2 linked regions of the Alligator mississippiensis genome follow. The protein of the gene in region 2 interacts with the protein of the main gene of each other region in a pairwise test. Links are inferred from orthologs where the notes say so. Each region holds a gene or a part of one and is shown on either strand. Other genes may lie near its edges.

What was found. The genes of interacting proteins can lie anywhere in the genome.
Region 1: the proteins of PRMT1 (region 2) and HNRNPR interact in binary tests that used the Homo sapiens proteins (3 or more experiments, as listed by UniProt). The link is inferred for Alligator mississippiensis from reciprocal best matches to the Homo sapiens genes PRMT1 and HNRNPR.

Annotation. Positions count from the first base shown.
Region 1 is NC_081829.1:9,933,373-9,941,203, reverse strand, and holds the start of HNRNPR (heterogeneous nuclear ribonucleoprotein R), read left to right. Parts: upstream 1-4,374; 5' UTR 4,375-4,430; coding exon 4,431-4,511; intron 4,512-7,831. UniProt on the Homo sapiens protein: Component of ribonucleosomes, which are complexes of at least 20 other different heterogeneous nuclear ribonucleoproteins (hnRNP). hnRNP play an important role in processing of precursor mRNA in the nucleus.
Region 2 is NC_081828.1:40,022,009-40,030,447, forward strand, and holds the start of PRMT1 (protein arginine N-methyltransferase 1), read right to left. Parts: upstream 3,367-8,439; 5' UTR 3,314-3,366; coding exon 3,284-3,313; intron 2,280-3,283; coding exon 2,226-2,279; intron 525-2,225; coding exon 423-524; intron 253-422; coding exon 97-252; intron 7-96; coding exon 1-6. Other genes in the region: BCL2L12 (bcl-2-like protein 12), read right to left, coding at 4,353-4,602, 5,002-5,207, 5,672-5,778, 5,856-6,017, 6,452-6,864, 7,868-8,181. UniProt on the Homo sapiens protein: Arginine methyltransferase that methylates (mono and asymmetric dimethylation) the guanidino nitrogens of arginyl residues present in proteins such as ESR1, histone H2, H3 and H4, FMR1, ILF3, HNRNPA1, HNRNPD, NFATC2IP, SUPT5H, TAF15, EWS, HABP4, SERBP1, RBM15, FOXO1, CHTOP, MAP3K5/ASK1, MICU1 and NPRL2.

The sequences.
Region 1 (7,831 bases), on a different chromosome or scaffold from region 2:
CACAGCTGCCTCCAGGCTGCCCAGTGGGGCAGTGCTGGCAGTGCAGACCAGCCACAGTGCAGCCTTGGCATGAGCTCTAGGTGGCTGTAGCAGAGAGCGCCGGGCAGTGGCAAGGGGGAGGGGCTTTTCCCCCCATACTGAGCAACAGTTCCTGCCCTACTGCCACCACTGTGGCTGCTGCTCAGCCTGGGTGGGTGAGTCTGGAGCAGGCACAGGGCAGGCCAGGTTGAGGCTGTGCATGTGGGTCCCCACCAATACCATGAGGCTGGGGCCGGTAGCAGCAGCTAGAAGGAGCCACCACCACCTGCCTAGAAAGGCAATCCAGCCATGGAGCCATCCCAGCCCCACTGCATGCCCAGGGGGTGGCAGGATGTGCCACAGCCGGACAGTGCCTAGGCCAGGCAGGACTGAGGGAACCACCGCAGGCTGGACAAAGACCCTCTAGTCCGTGGGCCCTATTTTGCCCACCCCTGATGTAGAGTGTGTAAAAGTGCAAGTTGCACCAATCAGGAATCAGTGCTGTGAATCCAGGATAATGAGCAAGAGCTGCAGACTTCCAAAGGAAGGGGCCATGTTTCTGGAGGTATATGTTAACCTCATCTCAGCCTTTTTAGAGCAGAAAGGGAGAGCTGCTTTTACAGTTGAAAAGTAGATGGCTTAATATCTGGAAGCTTGCAGCCTCCGAGTAATGTCAGGCAGAAGGCACAGCAGGGAGGTACCATAGAGACTAACTGGTTAAAAAAGGTGTTGTAGGCAACAGTCTGTGAACAGTTAGTTTGTGGTTGAAAAGGGGATGGGGTGGGCAGTCATCATGGGTGTATGCATAACTATTAAGCGTGATTATCCTGCTGCAGACAACTGTGACTGGGCAATGAGCAGGACATAAGAATCCCCTTGCTTCAAAAGCTTCTTAACTGTGGAGGTCAATAAACAGAACAGGTATCCCAGTTCCTTCCTGCCTCTATCCCGAGTTTACAAACTGAAAGGGTTATTTTCCATGCTCATGCAGGCACCGATGGGTTACCCAGAACATTTCACAGACATTAATTCTGGCTGGCCAGGAAAGGTACATAATGCTCACATTTAGAAGAATGCAGAACTTTTTCAAAAGATACGGGCAAAGACATTCTTCCCCAGCAGGTACCTTCGTACTGCTAACGTTGAAATGACAATGGTGTTTCTGGGGTACCCAGCCCACATTTTGCAGCCTTGGCTCATGAAGCCATCCACTAGATACTTGGTGACAAAGAGAAATTAAATTGCCAACAGAAAGCAGGTGCAGGATGGCCATTAAAAATGCTTTTGTTGAAAGCCTGATGGACCTTAGTGGATCCAGTACCCCTGAACTTGCTGCTGCTTGCAGTTGGTCAAACACTGTTTGCAAAGTGCCAGCAGAGTGGCACATGGAAATTGTCAGACTGCTGAATTTGAGCAGCCAGAGAGTGGGGCAGCTAGCTACTGGTGCTTGCCCAGATGCTGTGTGGCTGAGGGAGACCCTAAGGCAACACCTCAGTGTTGTGTCTTGAAGGGCACTACCCCTGCATGCTTTGTAATGAAGGGAACATGAAGGTTTTGTGCATGTGCACAATAAAATGAGGTGCCCTTAACATGTCTGAATGCAGTGAAGCTAAGCACTAATGCATGAAGCTGGTAACAGTACACTTAATATTAAACATATCCAGTAGATGACTGCCCAAACACCTCTCTCATGTAGTTTGAAAGGTTTTGCACCGCTAGAGAAAGTTCAGCATGCCCCTTATCTATCTGTATATATCGATATCTGTATATATAGATATCTATATCATACATACGGACACATATCTATCTCTGAGTGTATATATATATCTATAGATATATCACACACATATCTATCTATATATAACCAATATATAGTCTATGTGTAGCCAACATATAGTCTAACCAAAGTGTGTGTAGATAGATATATATCATAGAACTATAGAATCATAGAAAATTAAGGTTATAGAATCATAGGAAATTAGGGTTGGAAGGGACTTCAGGGAGTCATCTAGCCCAACTATCTGCTCAAAGCAGGACTATCCCCAACTAGATCATCCCAGCCAAGGCTTCGTCTAGCCAGGCTGTAAAGCCCCGCAAGGACGGAGATTCCTCCACCTCTCTGGGTAACCTGTTCCAGTGCTTTACCACCCTCCTAGTGAGAATTTTTTTTCCTAATATCCAACCTAAACCTTTCTTGCTGCAACTTGAGCCCATTGCTCTTGGTTCAGTCATCTGTCACCACTGAGAACAACCCAGCTCCATCCTCTTTGAAACCCTGCTACAGGTAGTTGAAGGCTGCTATTAAATCCCCTCTCAGTCTTCTTTTCTGCAGACTAAATAAGCCCAGTTCCCTCCACCTCTCCTTATAAGTCATGTGCACCAGCCCCTGAACCATTTTTGTTGCCCTTCAGTGCACTCTCCAATTTGTCCACATCCTTTGTGTAGTGGGTGGGGAGGGGCAAAACTGGACATAATACTCTAGATGTGGCCTCACTAGCACAGAGTAGAGGGGAATAATTACTTCCCTTGATCTGCTGGGAATACTCCTACTAATGCAGCTCAGTATGCTGTTAGCCTTCTTGGCAACAAGCAACAAGGGCTCATTGCTGACTTATAATCATCTTATTGTCCACTGTAAGCCCCAGGTCCTTTTCTGCATGCACACACAGTTATGTATCTATCATATACGTACACATTTTTAATATATACACACACTTACAGGTTTCCTTGACTTTATGCTGTACATGCATTCCTGGAAAACAGTGCATAACTCAAATTCACATAAAGGGAACCCACTTCACAATGCAACAAGTAGGGATATGTTCCAAGACCTCGACTGTACTGACTCCCAAATCCATTCCTACCACTTTAAGACAATTTTGGTACTTTCCAACACCAGACGGGTGGCTGCCACTGCGTGCGGCACTTTGTGCCCAGCTGCAGCTGCTCCAGGATCAGTGCTGCTGGCTGCACTGTGCCCCCTGCCCGCCCAGCGGTGGGATGCATGTGATGTTGCGCCGCTCCCGGGGCAGCTGCAGAAGCACGGGCACCAGCTGCCCTGGGCAGCAGGCTTCCATCACACTGATAAGAGTGAATTTACCTCGCCTATAATGAATTTTTAGTATGAAAAGAATCATTGCATAAGAGCAAATTCGCACATACAGAACCTGCATAAAGTAAGGGAAACCTGTATGACATCCTGGCTGGGCCAGCATGGCTACAGCACCACTGACCCAGCTGCAGCAGCTGCCTTGAGGCAAGTACCAGGTGGGGTAGATATGCACCATACAGACTATATACACACACTACATATAGAGTGTGTGTATTGGTTATATATGGCTCGTCTACACGCACGACTTAATGCACACTAGCCTATTTTAATGTACGTTAAGGCATCACAAAAAACACGCTCTTTAGCCTAGTGCACATTAAAATAGGCTCAGGCCCATTTTCCCAGTACCTCACAATGGAGGTACGAGATTTACTACACGTAATCTAAAGTGCATTAACTGAACATGTAGATGCACCCCTAGAGACTAACCGAAGGGTGCATAATGACATCTATCTATCAAGAGCACACACCAAGTGCAGATGCTTCCTCAGCCTGATGAAGGGTATTTAAACCCGACAGCTTGCTAAGAAGAATTTTTCCAACTATTTGAGTTGGTCTAATAAAAGAGATCAGATTTACCCAAAGACCTTTGTCTGCCTGTGTCCTTTGACCAGCATGGCTACAACCTACACCCCTATATCTATCTATCTATCTATCTATCTATCTATCTATCTATCTATCTATCTATCTATCTATCTATCTATCTATCTATCTATCTATCTATCAGGTTTTTGAACCCGAAAGCTTGCTTAATAATTATTCTCCAACCATTTGGGTTGGTCTAATAAAAGATATCAAATTCACCCAAGGAACCTTGTCTGCCTATCTCCTTAGACCAACACGGCTACAACCTACACCCTTGTATCTATCTATCATGCACGTATCTACCAGATATACGTGTGTATCGACACACCCTTAGGTCCGTGTCTGTACAGTGTATACTTGGGCTGTACGTGCGCACACACGCGTGGCCTCCTCGGTGCAGCTGGACCGGGTTTCTCGGGCGCGGCCCCCTGGCGATAGGGGGCGCTCGCGGGACGAAGCCACCTCCCTCCCTTTGTTCGGCGGCGCTGCCCCTTTAAACCCCAGCGCTCGGGCCTCGCCGGCTCGCGCGTGCCGCCATTGGCCGGGCCCAAGCGCCGAGGGGGCCGAGCGCCCCGCTCCCGCGCCGCTCCCATTGGCTGGCGGCGCCGTCCGTCGGGCGCGAGGCTCGCTGACGGTGGGCGGGCGGCGGCGACGCCGCGGTCCCTGGAAGCAGTTCCGGGAAACCCCGCGTGCCGCCGGGGTCGCGCCGCCGTCCATGAGGAGAAGGAGGAGCGCGCGCCATTTGCCGTCGCTGCTTGGGCCCGAGCTGCGCCGCGCAGGCCCCGCTCCCGCTCCGGTGAGTCCCGCGGCGCCGCCGGCGGGGGGGGGCCGAGGCGAGGCGGGCAGGCCCCGCGCAGCAGCGGCGGCGGGGAGGGGCGCGGCCTGGCGCTGGCGGAGGAGGCGGGCCCCGCGCAGCCGCGCCGGGCCTGGAGGCGGCGGGGCCCGGGCCGCCCAGGCCTGGCGGGGTGGGGCAGCGCCCGGCCACGTGGAGCACCGGGCCCGGGGCGCGCGCGTGTGTGCGTGTGGGTGCGCGGGGGGGGCGGGAAGCTTGGCCTCGGTGGCCCCGGCCCCGCGCTCGCAGGCGGCGGAGGAGGACGTGCTTGCTTGTGTGCCCGCCCGCCTCGCTGCGAGCCGCCGGGCCCTGCTCGGGGGGGCTTCGCGCTTTTGCGGGGCCTCCCCAGCCTCCTCCCAGGAAAGTCTGGCAGCCGCGATGTTTTGCGCGGCAGGAAATACCCGGCCGCGAGGATCGGCCTCTCCCGCCGGCCGCGCCGAGCGATTCCCGGTGCCTTAGCGCCCGCGCAAGCGCTGGGGGGAGCCGCTTTCCGCTGCTCAGCTCAGCTCAGCCCGCCTGGGATGCGACTGGCTTTTTTGCTTTGCTTCCCCATCATTTTTTTTTATTATTATTTTTGCAGATCTATCTGCAAAACTTGTTGATTTTAAAAGCGGGAATTTAATATCCATGTCCCTCTGTTACATGTGGAGCTTGATGATCTGTCTTGCAAAGCAGTTTTTGTTCTTTTTCTTTTTTGCGGGGAAGCTCACGTGTTAAATAAATGTATCTTGGCACCCGTGCTGTGTGGAGTAGGTAGAAGAGGCATTGAGACATTCAAATGAATGAATGTTAAGACCCCTCTGCAGGGTCGCTTTGAATTATCCCTCAGACATTGCCCCACACATGCTTACAAGCCACCCCAGTGCTTAATTTGAGTGAACTGGCAGCATATCGAGTTCATCTACCACTGGTCAGGTTAATATAATACCATCACTTTGTGCAGTGATCTAATTGCGCTGACCACCTACAGCGCTAGTATAGCTGCTAACTGACTGCCGTGAAATCGTGGTAGGAGTGTCTAAGGCCATGACAGGCAGCGTTGGGTACCTTCATTAGTGTCTTCTATGTAGTTTTCAGCCTGAGAGCTGTGCCCATCTTTCTGTATGCCAAGAATGGGAATTGAGATCCCCCAAACTTTCTAGTACATGTTGTGATTTAAGTCTAAGAATTACTGTGTTGGAGGGGTGAGGGTGTAAAATACTCATTAACAGTAGCACATGCTGTAGTAGAAATCAAATTGAGAAAGATTGAGATTAGTAGAGGCAGTATCTTCCCAATAAAAACTTGACCAACCTTGTGCTGTGTTCATAACTATGAACCAGTGAATATTTTGTAGCGTGTTTTTTAAGTAAGTTCTAAATAAGACCAAGTTACGGTTGTTTTTACTACACCACAGTTTACTTGTATGAGAGAAACAGTTGTAATATACCTTCTTTCAAAACTTGAATGAATCTCATTAGTGACTGGAAGGTCCTTCAGTAATCATGTCAGAGTTCAGCTTCCCATTATAACCCCTTGTCTCCCCTCATTCATAACTTCCTTATTTTTTCCTTTTTGGTTTGAGACGTACTGTGGCTTTAGACTAAAAGTAGTTCTTTTGCGTGGTATCAGATTGTCTTGCTGTGCTCCAGGGATGCTGGGAAGGGGAGCTACAAGCTTAAAACAACTACTTTTGATGCATTAATAATGTAAATGGTTGGCATTCAGTATTTTAACTGTCCTACTTTTAGACCTCCAAGTTATCTGCAAAGAATATTAAAACCAGAATCGGGCTCAGAGTCCAAATTCTGTAGAACTTTTTAGTTATATCTGTTGCATGTTCAAGTTGACTATGTCCACTTCTGCTCCATGGTGGTCAAACTATAGCTAAATAGCAGTCCAGAGAAGTCTATTTTCAGCTGCCATACTTTCTTTTGATTTGTCATGTTAATAGAAAGCATCTATGGGGGAAAACATGGAGGCTTGACCATTTTGATTTTTTTTTTATTGTTTCTTTAAAATAAAAGCATTTTCCAGGTAATTCAAAACCAGATTAAATTTGACCTCCTAGTTTGTGTGAGTAGAACCTCATGAGAGCTAGTTATTACAGTAACACATTGTGAGACAGGGTATGGGCAGGATACCCAATTAAAAATACAAAGTAGTTGGAAGTATACTTTAATAGTATAAAGTTCCTGTTGTCTTCAGTTGTGTAGCTGGGAGTTGCAATATGGAGTTTTTAGTAACACATCTGACTGCACTTCCACATGGTCTTATTAGTATTCCAGGAACAATCCCCACACACAATATATATACTGATAATCAGTAACTGCTTTCAGGAGGTACATCTTCATGTGCACCTTCTGAATTCATCTCTTTCTGGACACTACATATATATGTATATCTTTCACCTGAGACTTTTGCACACATCTGGGGCAAAACAATTCACTAACCCTCTGAAATTAGGCATAGTTCTGTGCCTGCACATGAAGGTTACACTATCCAAATTTACTTGAATGCAGTGCTTTTTATTTATGACAGGTCAGAAGTTGAGCCATATCAGATACCACATACAACATCTATATACACTTACCTGATTTTGTGGTCATCTTTTTAGTGTTGCATACTTTTAAATATTAAATCTTTGAAGTTCATTTCAAGTATGGAAAGGGAAAGCAAAGGTATTCCTTAATCAGACTCTTTTTTTTTTGTGCATTCAGTTGTGTGTTGTTTTTGGTGGCAAAGTATCTTACTAGATTTTATCCCTAGTTGTCCCACGTAGCGCACACTGCTAAGGAAGGAAGACTAGGTATTTTCTTTCTCTCTTTCTCCTCCTCCCCCACTCCCCCATCACTGTAATTCTTGTATTTCAGTTATACATATGCAACCCAGTTAGAGAAAATGAGGTTTACAAAAAATAGTAGATCGGAGGAAATGTATTCTATTTGCAGATAGAAATATTTTCTTGAAATAACTGAGCCATGAATATTCTCCACATCCATAGTATTTTGTCACATTTCAGAATAAAATTATATTTAAGAGTTTTTGGTTAAACATGTGACAGAATATACATATTTCAAGTGGAATTCTCAATTTTACCTTGGACTTGTGCATGTAGTAGTCTAATCTTTTGTCATCTTGCACTAATGCTCTCAAGTTACATTTGCAAAGATAAGAAAACATAACATGAATATACTTGACTTACATGGAGTGTAATAGAACAGGCTCAGAATTTGTACAGTGACCATGCTGTTCTGCATTGTAGCAATAAAGTACCTTACTGGATTGCGTATGCCCCGGTTCAT
Region 2 (8,439 bases):
CTCGATCTGCAGAGAGGGGAAGGCGGGGAGGTGGGGGTCAGCTGAGGCCTGGCTTTCTTCCCCCCCCTTGCACTCCCTTGGAGGGATCACACTCACCCCAATGACACGCTTAGCCCCTGCTTTGGCAGCAAACATGCAGAGAATGCCAGTGCCACTGCCCACATCCAAGACTACTTTGTCCTTGAAGAGGTGCCGGTTGTGGAACATGGAGTTCCTGTAGGTCAGGGTGCGAACCTCATCCTTCAGCATCTCCTGGGGGCAAGGGGGATCAGCAGGGAGAGCCCTGAGACTGCCCAACGCCCCCTCCTCCAGGGAGGCAGTACTGGAAAGCCACTCTAGCCCCCACCCCTATCAGTCCTCCAGCATCACCTGGAGTGGGCACCCCTCCCCCTCCAACCTCCACCCCAGGGCCCCGCCCAGACCTCGTGGATGCCAAAGTGGGCATAGGAGTCGAAGTAGTAGTCCTTGGATGTCATCTCCTCAGCCGGGGGCTTCCCACTGCCCTCAGGCTGGGTGCACGAAACCTGCAGGAGGGGTAGGAGCGATCAGACGTATGCACCAAGGCTGCGTGCTTGTGGTCACAACCAGGGCTGAGGCCCCATGGCTGGCACGTGCCCAGCCACTGCCTTGCCCACACCTTACTCCCATGGGCCAACCCAACCTGTACATACTAGTCATGCCCCCCAACAGACCCACAAGGCCCAGCCAGCCCCATATACCCCACAGAGCCACAGGTCCTGCCAACCTGTAGTATACATTCCACCCCCCCAGTCAGCCCTGCAAGCACAACTAGTCCCACATACCCCCCCCAACGCACCAGAGTGGGGCTGGGTCCCCTTCCCCTGCTGTGCCCATCAGACCCACAGCAGAGCCCACTCTGGGGATCTCTGCACCTTGTGTGTCTCCCTAGAAAGGAGCGGGAAGGGGCAGTTACCCCCCACCACCTCACAGACTTGGCCCTGAACTTGTCCTTGCTGCCACCAGGTCCCACCAGCCGGCCCCCTGGGGCACTGCTTTGGGGGAGCTCCACTGTCCCCCCCACCCTGGGGTCCCCACTGGCTACAGCCTAATGTCCCTGGCCCCAGAGACTGGGGAGGGAAGGAGCTGTAGCAGTAAGGACCTAGGGCAGGGCCCACCTAAATTCCACCCCCACCCCCGACTCAGTGCTGCTAGCCCCCCACCCCAACTCCTGGGTGCACCGAATACCCCTGGGGGAACCCCCACCCCAGCAGGGGTGCTGAACCAGGGGCGGGGGCAGGTGAGGAGGGCAACATTAAGGAAATTTATGAATGAGAAATGAATACAGCCCCTAGAACAGGGACGAGCGATTATTTTGGGCAGAGGGCTGCTTAGTGAGTTTTGGCAAGCCATCAAGGGCCGCATGACAGGCAGCCAGGAGAAGATCAATATTGATTTTCTAAATTTTTAGGGCCCCATGGGCCAGATAAACTGGCCTGGCGGGCCGCATTTTGCCCACCCCTGCCCTAGAAGGAGCAAGGATTTCCCTCCCCCCAGCCCCAACTCCCTTAATTCTCCACAACCTCTATATGGGGCCTGATCTTGGCCGCTCCGCTGTCTCCCCCACAACCAGCAGGGTCACTCCTATGCCCACTAGTCTACACAGACCCTCTTTAGCCACAGTGCAGGACTCTGCACCAAGCCCCACCCCCCCAACTCCCTCTACATGTTGTGAGGGTTTCTGTTACACCATGAGGTCCCCCCCACCCCTGATACAGGCTACTGGGGTCTATGCCACCCCTGCCTCACCCCCTGCAGCTCCTGCTTGGGCTCCAGGCTCCTTGCCACATGCACACACATGCACACAAACACCGCCTGTCCCTGCAAGACCCCCACCCCAGCACTGACCAGCTCCTCACTCCCATCCTACATAGGGGAGAGGGAAGGGGGAAAAGGGGATGGGGTTGAGCAATGGGACCCTGAACACAAGGGACACGAGGCTGGGACGCACCCAGGCTCCTGACTCCCGTAAGTCTAGAGGACAGGGCCACTGTCTGTCTGTCGCGCGTTGGGGGGGGGGGGGGAGGGACGGGACATGACACGGGACCTTGACAATTTGTGGGACACAAGAAAGGGTCTGTAGGAGTAGTGACAGGGTATGACTATGGGGACAAGGGGAGTGCAGGGATCCCCTCCCCTGGGGAAGGTGGTAGTTGGGATTTGGGGGTGGGGGGCTGGCTGGGCCCACGCACTGAAAGGATATTTACATCTTCTAGCGCAGTCCGCAGGCTCATCCCGTTAGCCAGCGTGGTGACAAACGTCTAGGAGAAAGCAAGGGAGAAAGTCAGCGCCGAGCGCCCAGGGCTGGTGGGGGCAGGGCCAGGGGACCCCTGCCTGGCAGCTGGAGGGGGGGTGGGGAGGTGGTATGGGCTGGATGGTGGAAGATGGGAAGACAGGCTCAGGGGGAGGGAGCAGTTCCTGTCCTCGCCTCCCACACGCGCACACACGCACACGCACGCCCCGACCCAGGACACACTGATCCTACCCCTTGGCTTGTGCCCCCCACCCTCCCATAACAGACACCTGCTGATCCTAGCCCTCCCCAACCCCCCCCAAAATAAAAACCCAACTAAATCTACTCTTGCCACGTCCCCTACAGATGGGCTGACCTGACCCCCCAGTAACGACCCACAGATTCTTCCCGGCAGGCCTCGTCTCCTAGAGGGACCCAGGGAACTTGCCCCTAAGCTCCCAGCAATACCAACCAATCGGGGGAGGTGGGGGGGGGTGGGTCAGTGAAGTCTCCTAAGGGGACCTCCTGCTCCTATTCCAAACCGTCTAGCGACCTCCTGATCCTGCCCCCGCCCCCGGCCACGTCCCCCAGATGGAACCTTGGATGCTGTCCCCCCCAGGAACACACTGATCCCACCCGCGGGCCACGTCCTCCTGCTCCTGCCCGCCCGGCCTGGCCCCACAAGGAGTCCCTGATCCTACCCCCAATAGCGATCCGCCGTCCCCCGCCACGTGCCCTAGAGAAACCCATGGACCCCCCCGCCTGGCCCGGCCACGTGCCCGCGCGGCTCAGCCCCACGTGGGCCCGGGGCACCGGGAAGAAGGGGAAAGGGCCGTGCCCCCCACCGGCCCCCAGCCCCACGCGGGGGTCCCGGGTGGGGGAGGGGCGTGGGGCCCCGCCCCCTCCTTTGTTCCCGGGCCACGTGGGACCCCCGCGGCCCCACCCCCACGCGGGGGAGGGCCAGCACGGCTGGACCCCCCCCCAACTACGGCCCCCGGGAGCCCCGCGCGCGCCCGCGCCCCCCGCCCGCACCTCCATGATGCAGTTGGCGGCCTCCGCCATCTTGCGTGCGAAGCCCGGGGAGAGCAAGTACCCCTCCCCCCACCCCTTGGGCCTTATAGCGGGGGAGGGCCCGGGCCCGCCCTCCGCCACCCCAATTGGCCGCTCCGCGCCGCGGTCCCCACCATTGGGTCGCGGAGATGTCGCTCAACGTGCGGGCCCCACCCTCACAGGCAAAGGGGCACTGCTATTGGAGGAGACCGTGAGGCTTTGCCCCTGCCCCCTTTAGCGGCGTTGAGGGAGGGAGATGTCACTCAGCTTCGCCGTCGCGGCCCCTTCGTGTAGGTCGAAGGCTATTGGACGAGATGAATGTCACTCACAACGCCCCTCACACAGGCTGTGGCTCTATTGGACAGCAGCGATGTCGCTCACGGTGAGTGGAACTTCTCATTGGTAGAGGCAAACAGCAGTCGCTCGCGTCCCACCCCCCTCAGTCAAGTGGCTGTTGTAGTGGGCGGCGGTAATGTCGCTCAAACGTAGTGAAACATTACATTGGCAGAGGCTGGGAGCTAGTCGTTAACGGGGACCTACCCCCCCCATTGAACCTGCGATCCCATTGGTGACCTGATACGTCACTCTAGCCCCCACTCCCGCCACCGCAGCCATTGGCCAGTCGCCTTGCCAGTCAAAAACTGGCCCCGCCCCCTCAACCCTAACCGAGGCCCTAGTAACAAACTCATTGGTAAGCCGCTGGGGAGAATGCAACCAATCGGCTAGGCGCTCTCCGTGCCTGGGGTCGCCCCCCCACGCTGAAATGTTCAAGAGTATGCCTGTCAGGTACAGCCCCAGCCCCCACTCCCCTCTGTAGGTAGCGAATACCATGCTTTCACGCTCTTCCTCCGCTACCCCTCTGCCCCCCCACCCTGGGGGACCCCTTGCCATCCCTCCCACAGGTGCATCGCAGCCCCAGGCCGGGGGGGGAGGTCCAATACAATACTCCCTCCCCAGAAGTGGCTGCAGCTGCCCTGCTGCTTCCCCATGGAGGGATGCAGGTGGGACAAGAAGGGTCCGGAGCAATCAAGAACTTTGTTAAAAATATTTTTTAAATGTTTAATAAGAGGTCACAATGGGCCCTCCATGGCCCCAGGGAAGGTATCTGTTTTGGGGTCCCCTCCAGCTGGATGTACCCTGAGAATGCCAGGGGGCCTCCCCATAGATAGGGGGCCACCCCATCACGGTGGCTTCTGGGGGGTGGATGGCCAGCTCCCCTCCCCCCAACCCAACTTGCATCCTGCCTCCTCCCCCTAGTCGAGCTGGAGGTCGAAGAGCTCATCCTGTCCCACGATGCTCTCCTGTGGGGTGGGGAGGAGGCTTGTAGGGGGGAGGCCCAGCCCAGATAGACCAACAGCTCCCACCCCAAGCATGGCCCACAGACAGCCCCTAGATTCCTTCCATGTCCACTGTAGCCTGGCCCCCTAGTTCATACAGTTTCCCCCCGCCTCCCCCCATGTGGCCACCACACCCAATCCCCTCTGACCAAGTGTCCCTTTAACCTATGGCCCCTGGTCTCCCCAGCCCAACCCAGCTGCCCCTTCCCTGGCACGGCGATCCCTCCTCCCCACATAATTCCCATCCCCTACCAGTCCCCCATGTAAATCCCACCCCATCACAAAGCCCCCTCCCCAGGCCGGCCTGGCCCCCCTACCCAGCCGCCCTGCTGTTGGAGCCAGGGCACGAAGAGCTCCATGTACTGGAGGCTGTAGCCCATGAGGGTCTGCACCGCATGGTTGCTGATCCCAGCCACTCTCCGGGTCAGCTCCATAGTGAGTGCCAGGCGCGTGAGCTGGGGGCTGGGGCTGCTGGGGGGCGCACGGGCGGCGAAGGCCTCGGCCAGCTGGGAGAAGCCGTGGAAGGACATGCGGGACAAGGTGCTGCGCAGCACGGGGTCTGTCTCCATCTGCGGGTGAGGGGAAATGTCATAGCATCAGCAGGGCTGGGGGGGGGGCAGGGGGATACGGTTCGGGAGCGAGGGCCTGGAGGAGGCACGGTCCTATAGGCTGGGAATGAGGGGCACTGGCTGGGCAGGGGGGGAGCAGGGGTTGCAGGTCCAGAGTAAGGGGCACTGGGGGAGGGCAAAGGGGGCTGTGGGTCAGGAGTGAGGGGAATTGTCAGGGCTAGGGAAAAGGATTGCAGGGAGGGCATAACAGTGGCTCTTAGGACTTGGGGGAAGTAGGGGGCTTCAGGTGTGGGAAAACTGACAGGGCTGGGGAGGGGCCCTGTGCTGGGTTTGTGGAGGTTGGGCTTGAGTGGCATGGGGTGGGGGCAGTCTGTGGGGCAGGAGGAGCACCAGGGAAGGCACAGGGGGCTGCAGGTCAGGAGTGAGGGGCACTGGCTGACAAGTGCAGGGGCTTAGGCCAGTACCTCCCGATTGATGTCCTCAGCCTGCTCTTCCAGGAGGCTGATGAGTCTCTGGATCACCTGCTCCCTGTGCTGCTCGCTGGCAGTCTCCGAGGAGTGGTCTGTCGGAGCTGGAGGCAAAGACAGGCCTGTGAGCACTTGGCTTCCGCCAGAGGGCAGGGAGCCCCTGCCCCAGGTAGCAGCTTACCTGAGTGCCTGATGCCCAGCTGGACACCGGGGGTCCTGGCCCCCAGCCTGGGGGAGGGAGCCCCATTAGCGCTCCCAGGGCTATTCAGCTGCTGCTGCTTCAGCAGTTTGTCCAGCTTCTGGGCTGCCTGGGCATAGAGAGCAGGGTCCTGCGGTGGCTGGCCTGGGGGGCAGAGCTGTTTAGAGCAGGGGGCTGTGGGCGAGGACATCTGGACTCTCCCACCAGCTTGCGGAGAGCATGGGGGTCCTCTCCTAGTTCTAGGATGTGAGTGGGGTCTGGTGAGATAAAGTTGGGGCTGGTAGCCAGGGTGTCTAGGGTTCTTCCCCCAGCTCCCAGAAAGCACAATGATGTAGTGTAGGGGCTCTGGGGGGCTGAGTGAGTTCTGGTAGGTTAGACGGGGGAGGGGGGATGGGAGCCAGGACACCTGGGTTCCCTCCTAGCTCTGGGTAGCACATTGGGTCCACATTGGGTGGGTTTGGTCAGGGCACCAGGGACTCCCCAGATGCCTGGGTTTTCTCCCTACTCTGAGAGGAACAGGACCTAGAGCCTTAGGACACCTGGGTTTCCTCCTGGCCAGTGTCTCTGGGGCCCCTTACCTTGTGCCGTGGGATCCTGCTGTCCCAGTGCAGGGAGGTCCGTGCAGTAGCAGGGGGTGACAGGCAGGGAGGTGGGGCGCAGCGAGGAGGGGGATGGGGGGGGATGGGGATCCTGCTCCTCTCGGGCCAGGCCCTTCCTCCGCAGCAACCCCTTGAAGGAGAAGGAGCGGGGGTACCGACGGCGCCCCCCCTCCTCCCCCTCGCCCCCCTTCTGCCTCTTGAGGGAGTCTCCACGGGCAGGCAGGGGGCCAGGGGGGCTGTGACGGGGGCTGGCCCGACGCTGCAGCAGCTTCTTCACGCTGGTTTTGAAGCCGTGCTTGCGCTCTTCCACCCGGTTGATGTCCTCGTGCAGGGGGGTCCAGGAGCCAGGGCGCAGGGACCCCCCGGGAGTGCTGGCTTGTTCTGGCAGGGGCCTGGGGGGTATGGGCATGGCCAGTCTTCCCAGAGACCCCTCCCAGCTCCCCTCCATCCCTGTGGACACGCCTGGCATCCCCACACTCCCCCATAGCTGTGCCTCCCCCAGCTATTCCCATGCTTGCCAGCTACACTTATACACCCCGTAACTGTGCCCCCCAGCTGCCCCATATTCCCCGCTACCCCTATACACCCCCATAGCCCTGTGCCCCCCAGCTACCTTTCCATGCCCCAATGGTTCTGTGCCCCCATATACCCCCACACCCCTAGCTACCTCCATAGCCCTGTGCCCCCCAGCTACCCCTATACCTCTAGGGCCCCCCATATGACTATGCCCCCCACCTACCCCAAACATAACCACAGCCCTAGGGCCCCCCACACCTTTAAGGTCCTTCCATACCTTTGTGTCCTCCCAGCTATCTTTATACACCCCCATACCTCTGAGGCTCCCCATAAATCTATAAACCCCGCAGCTATTCCTATACACTCCTATACCTCTAGGGTTCCCCCCACAACCCTGTTCCCACCCCCTACTACATCTATATACCCCTAGACTTCTAGGGCCCCCCATAGCCCTGTTCCCCTCAGCTACCCTACACACCCACACAGCCCTGTGCCCCATAGCTACTCGTATACACCCCCATAACTCTGTGCCCCCCCCCCCAGCTACCCCATATACCCCTATACCTGTAGGGCTTCCTCCACTCCCCCAACCTCAGTGCATACCCATGGGCCCCCCCTCAGACTGCTGTGGATGCTCCTAGGGTCCCCCCTGCCCCTGCAGATCTGCTCAGAGCCCCCCTCACCCACCACCAAGGTGCCTCTAGGGTCCCAGCCCCTGTAGAGCCCCCCATAATACACTCCCTGCAGAGCCCCCTATACCATAGTTCCACCCCCCACAGTCCCCTGCCCGGCTCCTGGGTTTGCCCTCCATCACCCGCCTCTAAAGACCCCCGAGGTTTCCTAGCCCCGGCCCCAGACCCCCCCCCCGTGTCCCCTCACCTGTGTGCGTAGCGCTGGGGGTCGTGGTAGCTGCGCCCCACATGCCCGGGGGCCCCCGCGCCTCCCCGGCCCTGCAGAAATGCCTCCAGCACCAGCCGGGTTTCGGCCTGCACTCGGCACCGCGGACGGGGTGGCGCTGGGGCCCCCGCCATGGCCCAGCCTGTGGGGGGGGAGCAGGCAGGGCTGAGCACGGGAGCACAAGGGGCCTGCCCGTGTCCCCGTGCGGGAGCACCTGGGGGGGACCCACTGAACCCAGGTGTCCCGGGACACCTAGGGGAGCAGAGCTGGGAGCCTTGCTTGGAGTGGCAGTGCATGGGGGCAATGTCCCTAACCCAGCTGCCCCCAAGTCCCCCCCGCCGCCCCTCACCCTGCCCGAGGGGGGGGGGGGGAAAGCTCCGCAGCGGCCGGGACCTGCGTTCCCCCCTACATCCAAAAGGGGACTCAAACTTCTGGACCTGGCCACTGCGCATGCGCCCCACCCTCTCCTCCGCCAAACGGGGGGGGGTGGCTATGCGAGGGGGCGGGGCCTACCCAGACCACGCCCCGTGACTTTCTGCCGGTTCGCAGGACCG